4 linked regions of the Drosophila melanogaster genome follow. The protein of the gene in region 2 interacts with the protein of the main gene of each other region in a pairwise test. Each region holds a gene or a part of one and is shown on either strand. Other genes may lie near its edges.

Region 1 (4,584 bases), on a different chromosome or scaffold from region 2:
CTAACAATTATATATTTTCGTTTGTTTTATTTATGCACCGCGCAGTGCTTATTGTTGTTGCCGTTTCTTGCGGGAGAGATGCGACGCGCACGCAGCGTCGTCAATGGAGAAAAATAAAAGAGAAAGCGCCCGCTCAGCTCAGCCAGTCTCCGTTGACCGCGCGGTTGGCGAGCTTTCTTGCAACTGACTTTCGAGTTTGAACGCGAAACTTTCGATTTCCATTTCCCGATGGCGAAGGACGATAGCCATCATACGATAACGATAGCCCAATGGAAAGCAGCTGTCGGAAATGCAATGGATCCACTGAACAAATTTTGGAACAGCTGTGGCGCTACATTCGAATTGAACAAAATATACTTTAAAATTAAAAATAAAAACGATTGTGCAAAGTCAAAACGTCCCTTTTGATGCTATGCGGGCATTTTTGCACGGATCAAAGCTGTAGTTTTGGTGTAAGCTAAAAAAACAATTGGTTTAAGAGGCAGTCATTTGATTGTCTTAGGCATATAAAAACTATTTAACTGTACTTCTAAATATTTATTTATCCTTACTTTACATCTAATAGATATGTATGAAATTATTAATTTCAATGATTTTATAACAAAGGTATTTATAATGAAATAAGGGGCAAGTTAATTTAATTTCCTAACACTACGAATTAATCAGTGAACAAGATTAATCTTATTTAACTACTTAAAGCTATGACACAGAGGCATATCACACACGTCTAGACATAGGGATTCCAATTGCTGCCGTCCTCGGGCAGCAAATTGTTGGTGATCAGGAGGATGACGTCGATGATCCACCAAACGCCCACGCCGCCCATGGTAAGCAGTTTGCCCACAGCCGTGCCCGTTTGACCGAGACAGAAGCGATCCATACCGAGGAAACCCAGCAGCATGCTGTAGATCAGTGTGGTCACAAAGTAGTGATCCGTGTAGCGGACACAGGGCACTCCGGCGCGCAGAAAGGTGCGATTACCGTAGCACTCGATGTCGGCAAACACGGTGCACCAGACCATGGCGTGCTCCACCTCTTCGTACGTGGAACCACCGAACTTCAGGCATCCGTATTTCTTTTCCTGCTGCGCCGTGGCGTTCTCCCGATGATCGACGGGATCCTTGCAATCGAGAAAGTCGCGCGGCAGAAACGAGCACATCACATTCGGTCCCAGTGGATAGAAGGCCGAGTTTCCAGCTCCGCCCGAGGCGGAAGATGCCGAAGATGACGATGAGGAGGGTCCCATGCCGGAGCCCAGTTGCGCCTGAACGGGCACCACCGATTGCACCGCCGTGCCGGAGACCACAGTCTGCGGCTGCTCCTTGTCGCTGCGTGCCTGTATCGCTTGGGCATCGTGTTGTCTGGCCACCAGGAACGCCAGTAGTCCGTAGAAAATCCGCATCTTTGCGAGCTCCTTATCAAAATATAGCTAGCCAGTGTGGCCACACCTTAGCACAGCTAACAGAGCTCTGTTATCTGCGATGGCCTACCGATAGTTCTGATTTTAAGCACCACGACAACGAATGGAAATAAATAAATGCAAATAAACCACCTTTCAAGTAACAGTGCTCCTTAGCATATTTATTGGCATTAGTGTGATCGTAGTCTTTAGTTAAGTACATTTAGTGAAGTGCTATTTAGTATAATGCGTTTATTTATTTCAGACTAGTTACCAATCACGCGCCCATCTCTACATTCGATAGGCAACGGCCCTGTTGCATTGGTGTGCACACACTGGCCGCGTAATCAGCGGGCGCGAACCATTTTTTTTTTTTTTTGTGCGACAGAACAAAAACAAGAGAATAATAGACGCTTAAAGAGCATTACCCGTCCGAATTTCACGGGCAGTACGAAAACAAGAACGGAGCAGAGAGCCCGCTTAATACGACGCGTCATTTTCCACCATTTTACTGCTGTGATTTGTTTGAATTTTGCTGTGTCAGCGCATTGGAAATTCGTTGGACAAGAATAATGAATCTATTGCTCCTGGTGGCCACCGCGGCCTCCGTGGCGGCACTCACGTCCGGTGAGCCGTCACTGCTCTCGGATGAGTTCATCGAGGTGGTGCGCAGTAAGGCCAAAACCTGGACGGTAAATTCCTTTGTTTCCAACCCTTTTCTTGCTGACGTGACAAGAAAATTGCATTTTCCCGTTTCCTATCCGCCAGGTGGGTCGCAATTTCGATGCATCCGTAACGGAGGGACATATTCGCCGCCTGATGGGCGTCCATCCGGATGCGCACAAGTTCGCACTGCCCGACAAGCGTGAAGTTCTTGGCGATCTATACGTGAATAGCGTTGACGAACTTCCCGAAGAGTTCGATTCCCGCAAGCAATGGCCAAACTGCCCAACCATTGGCGAGATTCGCGACCAGGGTTCATGCGGCTCCTGCTGGGCCTTTGGTGCCGTGGAAGCCATGTCCGATCGCGTACGTAGCTTACCTTATCGATATTATAACCCCTTCCATTCTTTGTTTGTCCAGCTGATAAATTTCCCCATTTTTTTTTATTATTATTTTCTTTTTGTATTTGTTATCAATGATTTTTTTTTTTTTACTGATTTCGCAATGGGCAGGTGTGCATCCATTCCGGCGGCAAGGTGAATTTCCACTTTTCGGCCGATGATCTCGTCTCCTGCTGCCACACCTGCGGATTTGGCTGCAATGGCGGTTTCCCCGGCGCCGCCTGGAGCTACTGGACGCGCAAGGGAATCGTCAGCGGAGGACCCTACGGATCTAATCAGGTTGGTGATCTTCTCCTGCTTTAATGGGATTTTGCAAATCATATTTAGTTTGGTTTAAAAGGGCTTGCAATTTGGTTTTGCTTGCAGATGAGTTTCCAATAAAAAAAAGGGTTTGTTTTCTAACGAAGAAAAACATACTTTATGTGCAAAAATAACCTGTATTTGTACATATTGTATTTCTACGCCGAAATAGTTAGAAAGCAACTTGATTTTGTTCTTTGTTTACTTGAAGTGAACTGAAGACTCAGTTTACGACGCCATAAAAAATTGTATACCACAGATATCGCTAGAAAGCGGCTTAGTATATCATATACAAACATCCATATACACAAAGCTATATGTATATATATCATATACGAACATCTATAGATATACATGCATATATTGTGAATGCACTCCAGATTCGCGTACATCCTCAACGATAAGTTTTAGCTGCTACTAACTCATTTCCCAGATATAGTAAGGCAAACAGAAGAAAAAACGATTCTAATATGCACTTATTTTGCAGGGCTGCCGTCCTTACGAGATTTCTCCCTGTGAGCACCATGTGAATGGAACCCGACCACCATGTGCCCATGGCGGTAGAACGCCCAAGTGTTCGCACGTCTGCCAGAGCGGTTACACCGTCGATTATGCCAAGGACAAGCACTTCGGCTCCAAGTCGTACTCGGTGAGGCGTAATGTGCGTGAAATTCAGGAGGAGATCATGACCAATGGACCGGTTGAGGGCGCCTTCACCGTTTATGAGGATCTCATTCTGTACAAGGACGGTGTCTATCAGCACGAGCATGGCAAGGAGCTGGGCGGTCATGCCATTCGCATTTTGGGCTGGGGCGTTTGGGGCGAGGAGAAGATTCCGTACTGGCTAATTGGTAACTCGTGGAACACCGATTGGGGCGATCATGGTTTCTTCCGCATCCTGCGTGGCCAGGATCATTGCGGCATCGAGAGCTCCATTTCGGCGGGTCTGCCCAAGCTGTAAATGTTATATGTATTCCGGCATCAAGCTGATATATCAAAACCCCTCTATTTTCTATCATCCCTCCTTTTATTTTCATTCCGATTCGCAACTGACGTTTGTAGTTAATGTAAACAACCTAAACCTGATTGATAATAAAGTATTGTATATGACTGTGGAACTGTACTTTGCTCGTATACAGTGGGACCTCTCTAACTAGAAACAAGGCAAACAAAAAAAAGAAAATGATTATCAAACTGGAACTCAGATATAATTAAAAGCGAATAATACTATTTGTGAAACAATGCTATAACTATCCAACTATAAACTATTGTTTAGCGTAGCTATGCCTTTTTTATTTAATAGTAGAGATTAATAGTAGAGAGTATCTGATCCTCTATACTATGTACACACATTTAAATGGAACGCCGTCAATCGTTCAATCGTTAAACTGGCTAGCTGTATGTTTTGCGAGTTATAAATGTGATTAGCATCGCATTTGATTAATCAAACAAAGAGTACAGCTTGCAATCGCATTCGTCATTTGGTGCGATTTTGTTGAGTTAATTTATTATTACATTAGTTAGCTTGGCCATACATACATACATACATACATATATGTACATACATATGTAAAACTTATCTCGTTGAAGCTGCCCACAATTTGCAGCACCAAATGTCCATTCAAATTGTACACATATTTATTCACATAACATGTTTTATTTATTTTTCTCATTTGCAACATCAAATAGAACATTTGTTTTGTATTTTCAGTTTTTTTTTTGTTATCTTGTCATGAACCAACCGCTTCTCTTATCGATTTTCTGTGAATTGATTGACTGGTTTTGTAGCCACTCTTCTATTCACCGAAACTCGATATTTTT
Region 2 (8,033 bases):
TTGATTTATGTGCTTAGTTGGTTCGGCATTTTTAATCGGTCCCCATACGATACCATATGATACCAAACCATACCATCCATTCTCATCTCCTCGTCGCGTTTAGTCTGTCCCCACTGTGTTTGTGCGCGCGGCTTCATTTGGTTATAATTAAAATGTCGATGTTATCAGCCAGATTTGGACATATTGGCCATTACGTTCGAAATTTAAGCGTTTTCTATGCGCGTATTTTGGATTTGGATTTTTTTTTTTTTTTTTTTTTTTTTTGATTTCGATTTCGTTTGGCTTTTTGTTCTGTCTTCGTTCGGTGTATTAATATTTAATAACGTTTTAAGAAGCTTTCGAGTGTTGTTAAATGCTTATTTATGCTTTTCGGCCGTGTTTGGTGTGTTTGTTTGTTGCCCAGTGTGTTTGAATGGATAATTATGCGTGAAATCGAACGTATAAATTGTATTTGTTGTCAAACCAAAGCGAGTCTATACAAACCGATTTCCTGGTCATATATTTCTGTTTGTTTATTGCCGAAAGAAAGTAAACGATTCTTCATTATTTCTTGCACTTTTTATTGGTTTCTCACTCAGCGGTTGACCATTTTAGTTTTTTTCTTTTATTTGAGCCAAAAACACTTAGTCTACGCACTAAATATCAGTTCAAACGCAACCAACTCAAGAATCAAATCCTTAAACAATACGCATTCATAAATAGATTTGGCTTAGGACTATTTTAAAGTTTAAAGTTACATATAGTTAGATATTGCATATGCTATAGCCTTAAATGGTGATGAGGTAAGTCGGCAGCCGGCGAATGAACAAGTATTATAGTATAATTATGCATAACTATAGGGTATACAATGGGCATGTGCATTTCAAGTGGGACAAGCGTGTTCGTATCGGGTATTAGTTACAATTTCAGCTAATCTTAAGCCGCCCATTATGTTGTTGCTGCTGCTTTCTGCTACATTTTTCTGTTTACTTTTTTCTATTTTTATTTAGTTTTTTTTTTCTTTTTTCTAGCGACCCCGAACCGCAGCCAAGTAGGTGAGCAGCATTTTAACTTTGGTTTTTCGATTTGTTTGCCCACTGTGTGTGTAGTCGCTTCTCGTATTTCAGTCCACCAGTTGCAATTTCAAATGCAATTGCAATTGCATCAGTAGTTGCTGTTGCTTTTGCTGCTTTTGTTTTTGTTGCCACTGTCAATCACAGAGGCGCGCACAACTCAGGTTTTCAATTAGACTTTGCCGCCGCCCATCTAGACCAGGTGGCCCTTGTCGCCCATGTCGCCCATCTAGCGGTCATGCTTTAGGAATTGCAACGTGGCCGGCGCATCGGAGGATGACAGGCGAGCCACCTTTGCCGCCGTTGCCGCCGACGACTCAATTTCACCATCGGAATCGTCGTGCACGTTGATCTCCTCATCCGAGTCCGATGACGAGTTGTCCACCGTCATGGTTGAGCCGCCAGATTGAGTGGTGTTGGTATTGGGTCCCGTGCCCTCACCACCGCTCCCCAAACCACCTGCGGAGTAGTGCAATCTGGAGCGCTGCTCCTCGGCGACCGTTAATGATGCAGCCACGGCATATTGCCTGGCCAATCCCAGGAAGGCAGCCGCCGAGGGCGAGCTCACCAGACTCCTGAAGGCACTACGCTCCCCGCCCATGGAGAGGTGATTCGCCGCCGGATTGCATCCACTGGGTGAGAGTTGCTGTTGTTGTTGATGATGTTGCTGCTGCTGCTGCTGATGCTGCTGCTGTTGTTGCTGTTGCTGCTGCTGGTGGTAGTGGCTGAGCAGCTGGAGGGCAGCTGGATGCGTGGGTAGGTGCAGAGGATGATGGTGATGGTGGCCGCCCGGAGGACCATGCAGTGGGTGTAACAGCACCGAAGGTGGCGGACCCTGTGGCGAGTGGTCACCGCACAGGGGCAACGGCTGCTGAGGTGGCGGCACGGGAGCCACTGGAGCGGAGGTGGAGGCACTGCTGTGGTTACTGGGCGTGGGCGAACTGGCCGGTGCATCGTTCGACTGCTGCGAGTGCAGCGGATTGGCGGGACTGGAGCGCTGACGCTTCAGGAGATTCATGCGTTGGTGGCGACGCCATTTAGCCCGGCGATTGGAGAACCACACCTGGAAAGGGTAGAAATAAATGATATTTAATAAAGATTAGTTATTTGAGGTTTTGGTTAATTGGCTTTGAAAGAGGTAACTCTAATTTCTGATATAAAAGTATTGATTTACTCATTAATTTAAATCAAATGGTATGTAACTACTTTACTAGCCACTTTTAATCTTGCTTTTTGAAAGTTTTGAGTGAAGCCTTTGTTTTCACCTGACTCACCTGAACTCTTGCCTCGCTCAAGCTGGTGCGACTGGACAACCGCTCCCTGGTGCTCACACAAGGATAATGACTCTTGTCGAACTCCTTCTCCAGCTCCTCCAACTGCTCCGGACTGAAGGTGGTCCGATTCCGCCTGAACTTGGGCTCATCATCGTCATCCAGATAATCGGAGTCTATGTGCCGGTTCTCATCCGCTGATTCCAAGGTATCATGGCTGCCAGAGCCAGGGGAGATGGCCCGATTGGTTGGTGTGCCACCTGCTCCGCCGGCCATCAAGTGCGCCGAACTGAGGGAGCCACAAGTGGAGACGGGCACAGCGCTCGCTGCACTCGGAGGCAGATTGGCGAGCGTGGGAGCGGCAACGGACCACAGGGCGGATGGAGGTGGCGGTGGTGGTACCCCCTGGCCGCCGGGCACATTGCCGGCCGGATGCCAGGTGAAGCTACCGTACGGATGAGGGGGTGGCGGGTACAGGCCATAGGCGGCGGTGCGAGCAAACTCGGTGGCCACCCGCTCGGCGGCTCGATTGCGCAGGATGCGATTGATGCTGCTCACCGATGGAGCGGTGGCATTAGTGCAGACACCTGCAAGGCGGGATTACGCAATTACCGAGCAGTCGAAGATCGAGATCAAAAGCTAAAAGCGACCGCCGATCAATCAGCGTTCAATCTGCGTCCGCGGATTAGCTGCAATTATGTGGAACACTCACCCTCCGAAATCAGGCGTTCTCGTATCTCCCAGGCGAAGATCGTTGGATTCTCGCGCTTGTACTGTTCGATCTTGGAGACGACCGTCGGCGTGGCCACCTTGGGCTTTGAGCCACCAATTAAGCCCGGTGGTCGCAGCGAGCCTGCAAGAATCAGAGCACAATTCCAGTTAAATTATGAGACAATGGATTTATGACTTTGCCAGCCTGGTTTTGGCAATCCATCTGTTTTTGGCTGGCAGCAAGGATTAACCCTGGTTGCTAATATCTTTATCTGCTCGTTTCATCAACATGTGATGTATGGAAAATATGAATGGGAAAACAATACAAGCCTTGGCAAATACACTGGTAGAAACCAGAGCAGCTCAAGAATTGGAAAACTTAAAAATGAGTGATTTTAACTACTTAAAGTTACTGTAATGACGGGTTTAAAAGACTTAAAAAATTCTAAACATGGAATAAATGTGATCACATATCCTTATTTGGAATTAAGCATTTTTTTCTTTCAGTGCACGGCAGCACGCACCAACCAACACTACCACCAAGGAATACCCGCTCGTGAATAAGCCGCATTTTGATTAATGAGCCAGCCGCGTTTTGGCCACCGCCAGTCAGGAGTTTATGCAATTTTAAGTGGCCAAATTACACGGCTGCGCACACGAGGGATACGCCACGCAGGGGATGGTAGGGGCAACTCGCAGGATAATAACATGTTTATCATAAAAATTAGCAAACAAATCGAAAACAAAGTACCCATTAGTTATCTGATGAGGGAAGGAACTGAGAAACTGAGCGGTCGTCCCTTTCAAGGGCTCACAACTCACCTAGCAACTTGGAGACAGCTCCCTGCTGGGTTAGCATGTGCTGGGCAATGTCATAGCCACGCAGTCCACCGAAACGTGAGAATTCCAGGAGGCGATGCTGTGACATCAGGGTGTTCAATGTGCTCCCCGTGGGTCCACCTGCACCGTGCGGAATGCCGCCAGTGGAGCCGCCGCCGCCAAAGCCGGGTGGTATTTGCACAGATGTGGGTGATGTGGATGTGGCCCCTCCGCCACCGGCTACCGCTCCCGATCCCGCTCCGGCCGCCGCTGCTGCCGCTGCCGCTGCTGCTGCTGCTGCTGCTGCCACGGATGCCGCCGCTACTGCAATTGAATGATAATTGGGTATTGTTATTTTATTGTGGCTTTAGCTGTCGCGGCCACAATGGTTAATTATGATAAATTAAGCGTTAATTGTGTTGACCGAACCGAAATGACTGATGGGTCCTACGAATATATTAGCGTTTCTATTACCCCAGCAAATGTCTAAGCTGATCGAATGGCCAAAATGGTGGCGACACGCAATCGAATCTTCCAGGCACGAGCAGATTTATCAAGCTAATTGATACGACAATGATCTCTTAGTACAAAAGGCGAAAATTAAAATATGTACTCAGCTGGATACGAAAAGAAAGCAAAAAACAAGTAGAAAAACAACTGTGTATTACGTTAATTCGACAGAATATTATATTTGCCTTCGCTTAAAAAACCTACATATATCATTCGGCTTGGGCAACTCGTCGCTCAAATTGTCAATTAGCGTTTTAAATGCGCGTTTCACTTTTGTTGTTTGTCAAGTAAATATTTTTAAAAAAATACGCGCACCTCCAGTCGTGCCTAACTGAATATACATATATGTAAGTATATGGGCCCATAATCAATTGTGCCGCCCATCAAATGAGAACCAGTTTTGTTTATTTCGGTCTATTTAAAGGTGAAAAGCAAGGAAATGGGACTGTCAAATGAGCCACGCAATTGGTAATGTGACATGCGTAACGATTTGTGTTTGTTTTAACTGAAGATTTAAGTTGGAATAACATAAAACATTTGTTATGAACATACTAAGTACGAACATGACAAATTTTAATCGCTTTCTTATAAATGGCCCACATTGTTTAAACTAGAAATATTATAAAGGATCACACTTATTTTATCTTCTGTTTAAGAAAATAAAAAGGCACTCAAAGTTAGTTTTACATAGACCTTTGTATGATCAATTTGATAATTTACATAATTTATCTACCATATACCATTTAAATAAAAAATTGTTTGTTTTACAGCGAAAAGTTAACACCAACTATATTCAAACTAAATGGATCTGGTTAAGAATTACACATAAACACATTTGACCCAGTTTGATACTTTATTTAATACTTTAACCGAAACACCGTTTTAACACACTAATTTAAACGATGCTTAGTTATTAGTTATACATAATTTCAATAATAGATTTTAGGTTTTATCGCGAAAGAACTAATTTGTTTAAATTAAAATTCGAACATTCCGGATTTGCTATCGAATGACATATTACACCTTTGACCCAGTTTCGGATTTATTTTTTGAAGATTTGTGTATATTTTCTTAAAATCCCCAAGCCTGGCTTTGCCGTCGGCAAGACTTCACATGGGCACTTTGGGGCACTTACCACTGGAAGCGTGAGGGGCCAGCGATGTGATGCGTTGGGGATGGGGCTCCATTTTCCAGTGCGCGGCCGAGAGGCCAGAATTAGCGACAGTAAGCGAGCCAAGGTCACGGTTTAAAGTCGGCTCAATCAACATGTCTAAGAATCGCTCTTTCCAATTCTCTTTATTATTTATTGTTATTTTATATTTGTTTATTTTATTAATTTTATTTGGGTATAACACAATCACAGTCACAAGTGTCGCACATCCAAGGCAGAGGTATCGATTATAGCGAATGCAACCGGAAACGGAAATGGAAACGCAATGCGGTCAATTGGATTCATAGCGTGCTGCTCACTCACACACTCGCATACACACGCACACAGATACACACACAGTGACAAATGCACGACAGTCGATCCCGACAGAAACAGTTAGAAAACGCTCCTGCGTATCTCTTGCTCTTATTTTTATTATAGAATTTGTTTTTATCGAATTTCTTGCGAACACTGCGCTCCGTTGAAACGTTGTTCACGCGAAAGCTGCTCTCAGCACAATGAGCGCTTGAATTTCACCTGGTCACCCGGGTCACTCCGCTCCACTCGAACAGTTTCACTCCGCTTTTGAGTGCTTTTCGAAACGCCAACCGGTTTACGAGTACCGTACTTTCATAATGGCGCCCGTTGAGGCAAACTCTTGCTCTCTCGCTCTTCTGCGCGAGAGCGGGACAACCACATGCACACTATGCGCGCACACAAATCAAACAATTATAAACTCGTTGTTGGTAAAGTGCTGAGTATAAACAGTGGCAAGAAGAAGAAGAAGAAGCAGACGAATGAAGAGCAGTGAGTGTGAGAGAGAGCGAACGCTTTGGGGAAGTGACAAGAAGAAGAACCAGAATAAGAAGAGAAAGAGGAGTTGGGGAACCCTTTAATTTTAACTACAAATGTAGTTGGGATACCATAGCACGTTTGAAGTCAACCTTTAGGTGCATTTCTCGCCTAATGTAATATTCTAATTGATTGAATTAACCGTACAGCTTAAATTGTACCATTTAGGAACATTTAGTTCGTAATCTTTACTGTTGAGTAATGCATTCAATTTATCGTTACTTTAAGCCAGAGACCATGGCCCCAATAAGTAGGCACTTTCAAATACCAACTCTTGATTATCATATCGATCTGTGTACAAATGAGCTACATTTACAAAAGTTCATGCATATGTATAATCTCTAACAATTAAGGCTAAAGACTGAAAAGAAGTTTGGCTTTTTGCTTACACTTCTAAAATAAATAATAATAATAAAATATTTTATTTCGAAATTATTAAAATAGCTGTAATATTGTATCAATAAAATGGCAGTATGGTATGTTTGTTTTACTTTTTATTTGATTCTACTCAGGAGAAAGACAAAAAAATATATATAAATAATTGGTAAATAATACCTCAGCAAAATATAAACATTAGCATTATAATAAAACAGAAAAGCATTAAATTGCTTCCTTTTTGTGGACTTCATAACTACTATTCCGCTTTTAAACTGACCAATTGCAATTAAAACTCGATTTTTAAACATAAACTTATTAAAAGAAGATTTAAGCCTGAAAGTCCTTTTTAAACAAACTAAATCGTTTATTGCATTGAAAGATAACATAAAATGATCGCTAAATAACAATAACTAAAATGCCTGCAATTTAAAAGAGCTTAGTAGCATATAGCCATTTGAAAGGAATTTTAATCCGGTCAAATGTGCAGTGAAGTGGCCAAATTGCATCCATTGCGATCCAGAGTGAACCTTGGACACGTATAAATCGCATGCGTGGCATGGGCCGTTTGCCATTCAGGTTTGCACTGCCCGTTTTGGGTCGTTGTCTCCCGGCCTTTGGTGCGTGATGGATGATTGATGTGCTGCCTGGGCAAGGCAATCCGATGTGAATCGAAACTGCAACTAAACTACACATGGCGTGATCGGGGAGCCACACAGATCACAGCTCGCAGCTCGCAACTCTCAGAACAGAACGGGGCAGAAACGGGCTACACCAAGTGGCAGAGTGGCCTGCACAGAAGCCAAATTGCATCAAAGCCCACGGATTGAGTGGCTCCCGGCGATGCAGGATTCGAATTGGAAGCTGAAAGATGAAAGCTGAAAGCTGAGAGTCGAGTTAAAAAGCAATTACCTGAAATGATTCCCCAATGGAATGAGATGGGATGAGATCAGTTGGGATGGGATGGGATCGGGTGGAAAGAGGAGCGAGTGCAGAAATCTGGATGCGAAACGATATGGTTCAGCAGAATCACCTGGCGATAATGAGATGTCTCACTAAGCTGATCAGAACTGCCTTTGTATTTATTTGTCTGTTCGAATGCAAAGTGCACAATGCACCGAACACTCGTGCATATATGTTTCTTCGATTTGTGAAAGGCGAATCATGAATGAAACGCTGCTGACGATGACGTTCGAGTGCCCTCATGCCAGAGATCCAGAGCAAACGCAAACAATCGAACAGGAATAATTTACTAAGTAAATAATATCTGGATACCGATCGCTGCACGGTAAG
Region 3 (3,107 bases), on a different chromosome or scaffold from region 2:
TCAATAAAAGTCCCCATCGCTGGATTATTCAGACAGGCAAGTGACCACAACAGACTTCCTTTGAAGGTATTTTGCCAATTTATTAATCAGAAATCTATTTTTACTACCCGAAAATTTCCTTTGTTGTCGATAGTAATAATTATATTTTAAAGAGTACAGATTGTGTATTAAGTTTAATTTTTATTTATAAGTTACATAAATGAATAATTAATATTTTATGGTTTTAAATTAAATAAAGTTTTCTATTTGACTATGTAGAATCTATGTGAGCACTTGTAGCTTTCCTCATATGTATGTATATTTTAAAATTTATTGTGCAATTATGCATTATTAGTTATGATTAAACATTTTAATGGAGTTTTCTTCCGCTTTTAAGCTGTGAGTTACAAACAAATAAATCAAAAACATAAGAACGGAACCAAAAACTTATCGCTCCAAAACTTCCGCTGCACGGACGCTCATAAAATGGGGGACATTGAACTTCTGAGCGGGCTGAAAAAGGCATTGCTGAAAACTGTAAAAATACCAGCGAAGAAGCCGGAAAAAAACAGTGGAAAAAAGTCACATCAACACGAAACATTAAGCTTCACAGTCACAACATATTCGGCTCTTCGATGCATTTTCCTTAAAGTCGCCATGGAGTTCAAATCGAATGGGAGCGCACGCGCCTGCGAATATGCAATGCTGTAATACGAGACCAACACGCGATGGAGATGATGTTTGGTTACGGAAGGGGATACGGGAATTTTCCCGGGGTATTCGGGGTTCCGGAATCGGAACAGAAAATAAGCTCAACCAGACCCAAAAGGCCACCAAACGAACGGGCTATTTACGAAGGGCGGAAGTGCTTTAATTTAATGTTGGTAAAAGATAAGAAGTTAATCCGATCAAATTTTCTTGGCCTTTCCTTCATTTAATTCGATTAAGTAATAGATGAGATAGTGATGTTGGAAAATCGATGTACATGAGCTTTATAAGTAAATAAACTTGTAAAATGTACAGAATTCTTCATCCTTCAGAGTTTTTTTTACTTATTTTCTTAAACTCATAAAAATTAGGAACTTCGAGATGGATTAATTTACACTCAGCCTTACAGCTTATTTGGGTGAAAACGTGAAAAGTGTTGGGGTAATCGACTCAATTAGCTATTGCATAAGCACACTTTGCACACTCCCGCGCCAGCCAAACAAACACCAAACTCAATTAGATGCCATAACTAAATAATCACAAACACATTTACGCCAGCAAGAGCTCTTTTCAGTTGAAGCAGACCGGTTGGTAACCAAGAAACGTGGCAAAAAAAAAAGAAAAGAAAACAGAGAACCAGGTCAACAACAGAAACAACATGAGCAACAATTTTGAAACAATGAAATGACGACAACGACAGAAGCGGCAAGGCATGCCTGGAAAATTGCTTCCAAATGCTCAGAAGCCAGAGTGGAAATATGGGTAGAGTCGGAAAAGTGGGTGGCCTGGGTGGCTGGGGGACATTCCAACATGTGACGCACGTGACAAAACTTGTCAAGTGACTTTACTTCACTTTGACTGCGAATCCCGGCTCTGTTGTCCGTAAACAAGAAGACGGAATCCCGGCTGTGAAGAAAAATAGGTTTGTGTGCATTGCCCAACACAAAATGCTTAAGAAAACTCTGCTCTTGGTAAAACAATGAAAGGTGGGGCAAAGAGGAAAAATCAGTCGCGGCTTGGCTTTTCCGACTTGTTGCGCCTTCGGCTAAATTATGACATCGAGAGTTTTAGGGGAATGGGAAGTCCTTCGGGACGGACTGAAGTATTTTTGGAGGAGCAATGGAGTGGAATTTTATGGGACACACAAACAATCGGGAACGGTTTTATGAATTAAAATTCTTAAAGCGAATTAGATAAGAGGCTAAGAGGCTAACTGTATATATAGTTAATCAAATTTTAAAATTTGGAAAAAAGCATTTTAAAAGCAGGCCATGAAACCACAACATAGAAGGCCATGAAATCAAAGTTAAATCTGTAGAACTTTGTGGACCAAGCTAGTGGCTTTAGCTCATTATAGTTTCGGTTCTCCAACAGAAAACATCTATTTGTACGACTACCAAATTTCTAGGACTGAAAATCCTACTTCCGTAATCAGGCTAATGTGAGTGTGAACAACAAACGAATTTGTTTCTTGAAAATATCCTCGATTCGTTTCATTTCGTTTTCAGAATAAAATGTGCAATCCAGGAATGTGCTCGATGCCCGGCACTTGCTGTGGACCGACTGGCGGACTGGGACCCTGCCTGCTCTGCGGACCCTACAATGGCCAGTGGTTCCGTTCGGTCAACCACTGTTGCGGTCCTTGTGGCCCATATGGTTGCTGCTCATGCTACGGGCCGTATGGTGGACATTGTTAGCCTGCTTAGAAGGAATGTAGGGTTTCTTTATCCGCGATCTGGAACAGGAGCTTTAAAGATTGCAGCCGTGAGGCCTTGTCGAAGATGAGGAGCCACGCTGAAAAGTTGTCAGGCAAAGTGGATCCAAAGATTTGTGTTCGATGAAAGATTATGCCATCAGAAATAGATGTTAATAAATTATACGTATAATTCAAAAATAGACCACTTTAATTTCACTTCACATGTATTGCTATCAACAGTTAGCAAACCTAATTAAATATTTGGCATGCATTCTGTGGAAACAATCACAAAATTCCATCTCGTAATTTGCCGTTTTTGGTTTTCTTTTCAGTCCGCCGGGTGCATTTAAGGCTAAACCCCATTTGATTGTAAATATTTGGCTCGTTTACGGCTAACGATACATCGGGGACCAGCCAAAAAGACGTGTAATGCTAATGGGCCTGTTGAGTGCAAATTTGTTTACGAGTAAAACACCACTAAAACAGATGGGCTTGCTGATTGCTTTCAATTTTATTTAATCGAGGCACCCCGCATCAGATCGACCAGAAAAATTGATATCGTTAAACATAGTGAACAACAGAAACGGTAAGTTTAAAGAGTATATCATCGTGATACGGCTACTTGGTGCGTTTGAGTGCTTTGCTAAGACTGGGGAAATACTCGTCACTGTTGAGATCAGGAGCTTGAGGTTTTCCGGACATCTTGGATGGAACCTTACGCAGA
Region 4 (3,524 bases), on a different chromosome or scaffold from region 2:
CGGCGGACTTTTAATTTTCAGGGCGACCTGTTAAGGCCAGAGTTTTTCCTTTTCCTTTGGCCGGGGCATCGCCAAAAAGCCCTATAACCGTGAATCCGCACATGCCCGTATATACGGATATACGGATATACGTATATATCCGCACATTCAACGTCTTGGTCCTTCGAGTCGTATATTTGCATACTTCCGGTGCGCGCAAAATGATTATCATTATTATTTCTGTTGTTTGCTGTTGTCGTTACCGCGGCCATTACCGTTATTGCAACGCCACTGGCAGCGGCTCCTCGCTCCTGAAGTCCCATCGTCCTGTCGTCCTGTAACTCCGAAAATGGCCGCCAATCGGAGGGGAACGTGCGACGGTTATGGCTTATTTGTGCAAATGAGCTGACGTCCATTACATTGTCCGTGGGGAGGTGAAATGCAAATGATTGTTTTGGCGCTGGCTGGCTCAATGTCTGCCGCACAACAAGGTCACCGCAGGAGCCCCAAGGACACTCTTATTCACATGTGAGTGTGTGTGTGTGTGTGTGGGCTGTACACATATCGCATCACTTGCGGCTTAAGGACACGCGAGTGAAAGTAAGTGAAATGGCCTCGCCCAACTTAGCCCACCTGGCCTTGTTTAATAGCCAATAAGGTAAACTTTTCGTACAGATCCTTGATTGATTCTCCTCTATAAATTGGCACATTTACTTATCGAAATAAACTGAAGCTCCTTAACTGTAAACTTTCGACCACAAAATGCTTGCCAAGTTTGCACGTTGCGCAAACAAATTGCACCTGCTTCAGGTTGATTAGCCACCTGCAGCCCATCTCCTTTGCTACTTTGCTCCTTTGCTCCTTTGCATGGCCCTCGGTTTGCGCTGCAAGCCAGGTCGTAAAACACTTTTGCCTATTTCGCTGAGTTGGCTCGACTGCGATCTCCAGCTCCTCTTCCAGTTCATCTAGCTCCTCCAGCTCCCGCTGCTCTTGCTGTTGTTTTTAAGAGCCATTTGTCCGATGCCCGCGGCTATTTACAGCCATTGTACAGACTTGGCGAATTTATCAAGCATGGCGGAGTCGCTCAGTGGGTCACTGGATGGTGAATGTTGGTGAACTGGATTCGGGATGCCGGATACTAGATGCTGCAGCTGACGTTACCGCCATTTTTCCGCTTTTCCTTCACTTCGCTTTTGGCTTAATTTCAAAACAGTTGCGCTTATATTGGCAGTTATGCTGCAAATTTATTGGCATGCTTTGTAAACTGGGTTAGTTGCATATATCTCGCAGCCGCAAGCTGCGAGCCAAACGATTAACGTTGAGTAACCCAAATTGATGTCACCACCCATCGACCGCAGCTAACAGCCCGCACCACCCACCGCCACCAACATTTGCCCGCTGGAGCATCATTTTTTCCCACTCAGCAAAGTTTCCGTAGCGGCTGGTTATAGCCCATAAATTCTCATACATTGTCAAGTAATAGCTAAACCCTGTTTACCCCCTGACAGGCACAAGTTCATAGAGATAAAGAAAAAATGTGGCACAATTTGGTCACAACTTTTTTAGAAAAGAGATAACCAATTTCTTTTCATAGTGAGATTGCTTAGGTCTTTTAAGAAATTTCAACTATGGAAAAGATGATCGGCACTTGATCTTGAAAGTGTGGTTTTATGCCCCGTTTTCCTTCAGTGTTTTTTGAGCGTAAACCCAAAGCAGTTCCAAGTTTATAAACCGGCGACAAAGAACGAGAATCTCTCTGGCAGTGCAACGCCTGACACGGGTTAATCCGGTATGCGTGGTGCTTCTCATTTAACGGTCATTAACATAGCCAGCCGGAATGCTTGGATAGACTGTGCTTTCGAGCAGTTCCGTTCAGAAGACTGAAGACCCTCGTGTCTCGTGGACTGCAAATCGCTTTCCGGCAGTTCGGCAGGGAGTATTTTTGAATCGAGGATCCAGAATGCGGCACAACATGGTGGCCTACCTGTACTGCCTGGTCAGGGATCTGTACGCCGAGCACGGAGATCCCCGAGTGGCGCACTTGCCCCTGCTGGGCAATCTATGGATCGTGCTGGCCATTGTGGCGCTGTATGTGGCCTTTGTGCTCCACTACGGACCACGTTGGATGGCGAACCGTGCTCCCTTTGAGCTGAAACGTGTGATGCAGGTGTACAATGTGGTGCAGGTGCTGGCCAATGCCACGATATTCGTCATTGGCCTGAGCAACACCTACCTCCAGCCGGGATACAGTTGGACCTGCCAGCCAGTGGATCACACGGACAGATCACCGGCCATGATGAAGACATTGTACGCCTCGTATGCGTACTACATGCTCAAGTATCTGGATCTGCTCGACACGGTTAGTTGGGGGCTATATACCGTCTATATACCTTCTATACCCATATACAAATGCATTCCCAGGTATTCATAGTGCTGCGCAAGAAGAACTCGCAGGTGAGCTTCCTGCACGTGTATCACCATGGCGGCATGGTCTTCGGCGTGTCCATCTTCATGACCTTCCTGGGTGGATCACACTGCAGCATGCTGGGTATAATCAATCTCCTGGTGCACACGGTGATGTATGCCTACTACTATGCCGCCTCATTAGGCGCGGTGAAGAATCTTTTGTGGTGGAAGCAGCGGATTACACAGCTGCAGCTGATGCAGTTTGGCTACCTCACCTTTCATTTCCTGCTCGTTATTGTCCGGAATCCGTGTCAGTTTCCCGTGTTCATCGCCTTCATCGGCTTCATTCAGAACATCTTCATGTTCTCCATGTTCTTCGACTTCTACTGCAAGACCTACATACGCAAACAGCGCAAATCGGCGGAGCACAAGCTGAAAGCCAGCTGAGCTGTACTGCCGTTGAAAATGAGGTTCAAGTTCGCGCCGCGTCATTTCCATATTAAATTGTGTAATAAGCTGGTCGGTCGCTTATGCAAATGGGCACCGATCGAACCCAAAATGCCTGGTATAAATAAACATTTCGGATTGTTTCCCAACCCCTCCGTTTCATCGCCACAAAATACATATCGCTCAATTGTTTTGCTTTTGTAATCAATTTCAATTTGCCAGCGGCTAGATTCGGAGGCTCCTTAAACTTTTCTCGAAAACTTCTTAACCGCCTGGGAAAATCGAAATGGAGCACGGAGAGCGAAGGCGGCGACAAGTTATGAAGTAAGTTAGCCGGGCATATCTTTTATTAAAGGGTTAAATGAAATATCGATGAAGTCGGCACCAGTTATGGCCGCCACGTGTTCCCGACCCACATTTCTCTATATGCTTCGGCCATGTGTCGCATGGGCCCCTGGGCCACCTTTTAACTTTCTGGCCAGCGTTGTTTTTTTCTGGCCCCCTTTTCAAAGCCAAAGAGTGGAAAAACCAGCTAGCACACCCACAGTGTTACCCCATGTTGAACACATTTGCCTAGAAGGCTGCCTCATTCATATTTTTTCCCCCTCTTTTTTTTTGTTTTTGCCATGGCATTTTTTCTTTGCCAGAAGTTTTACATCTGCTTTCGCTCCCAAAAAAAAAAAAAAAATGGA

What was found.
Region 1: the proteins of eyg (region 2) and CtsB interact in a two-hybrid assay, tested with the Drosophila melanogaster proteins (one large-scale study listed by BioGRID).
Region 3: the proteins of eyg (region 2) and CG34168 interact in a two-hybrid assay, tested with the Drosophila melanogaster proteins (one large-scale study listed by BioGRID).
Region 4: the proteins of eyg (region 2) and CG6660 interact in a two-hybrid assay, tested with the Drosophila melanogaster proteins (one large-scale study listed by BioGRID).

The regions. Positions count from the first base shown.
Region 1 is NC_004354.4:13,779,317-13,783,900, reverse strand, and holds CtsB (cathepsin B), read left to right. Parts: upstream 1-1,730; 5' UTR 1,731-1,971; coding exon 1,972-2,091; intron 2,092-2,167; coding exon 2,168-2,428; intron 2,429-2,574; coding exon 2,575-2,742; intron 2,743-3,250; coding exon 3,251-3,724; 3' UTR 3,725-4,054; downstream 4,055-4,584. Other genes in the region: amrt (amaretto), read right to left, coding at 728-1,402.
Region 2 is NT_037436.4:12,461,988-12,470,020, forward strand, and holds eyg (eyegone), read right to left. Parts: upstream 6,035-8,033; 5' UTR 5,632-6,034; coding exon 5,499-5,631; intron 4,178-5,498; coding exon 3,857-4,177; intron 3,177-3,856; coding exon 3,036-3,176; intron 2,911-3,035; coding exon 2,327-2,910; intron 2,116-2,326; coding exon 1,282-2,115; 3' UTR 550-1,281; downstream 1-549. Other genes in the region: CG32102 (uncharacterized protein), read right to left, coding at 7,170-7,436.
Region 3 is NT_033779.5:16,134,183-16,137,289, reverse strand, and holds CG34168 (uncharacterized protein), read left to right. Parts: upstream 1-2,017; 5' UTR 2,018-2,128; intron 2,129-2,195; 5' UTR 2,196-2,201; coding exon 2,202-2,384; 3' UTR 2,385-2,576; downstream 2,577-3,107.
Region 4 is NT_033777.3:22,921,520-22,925,043, forward strand, and holds CG6660 (uncharacterized protein), read left to right. Parts: upstream 1-1,832; 5' UTR 1,833-1,951; coding exon 1,952-2,338; intron 2,339-2,400; coding exon 2,401-2,832; 3' UTR 2,833-3,006; downstream 3,007-3,524.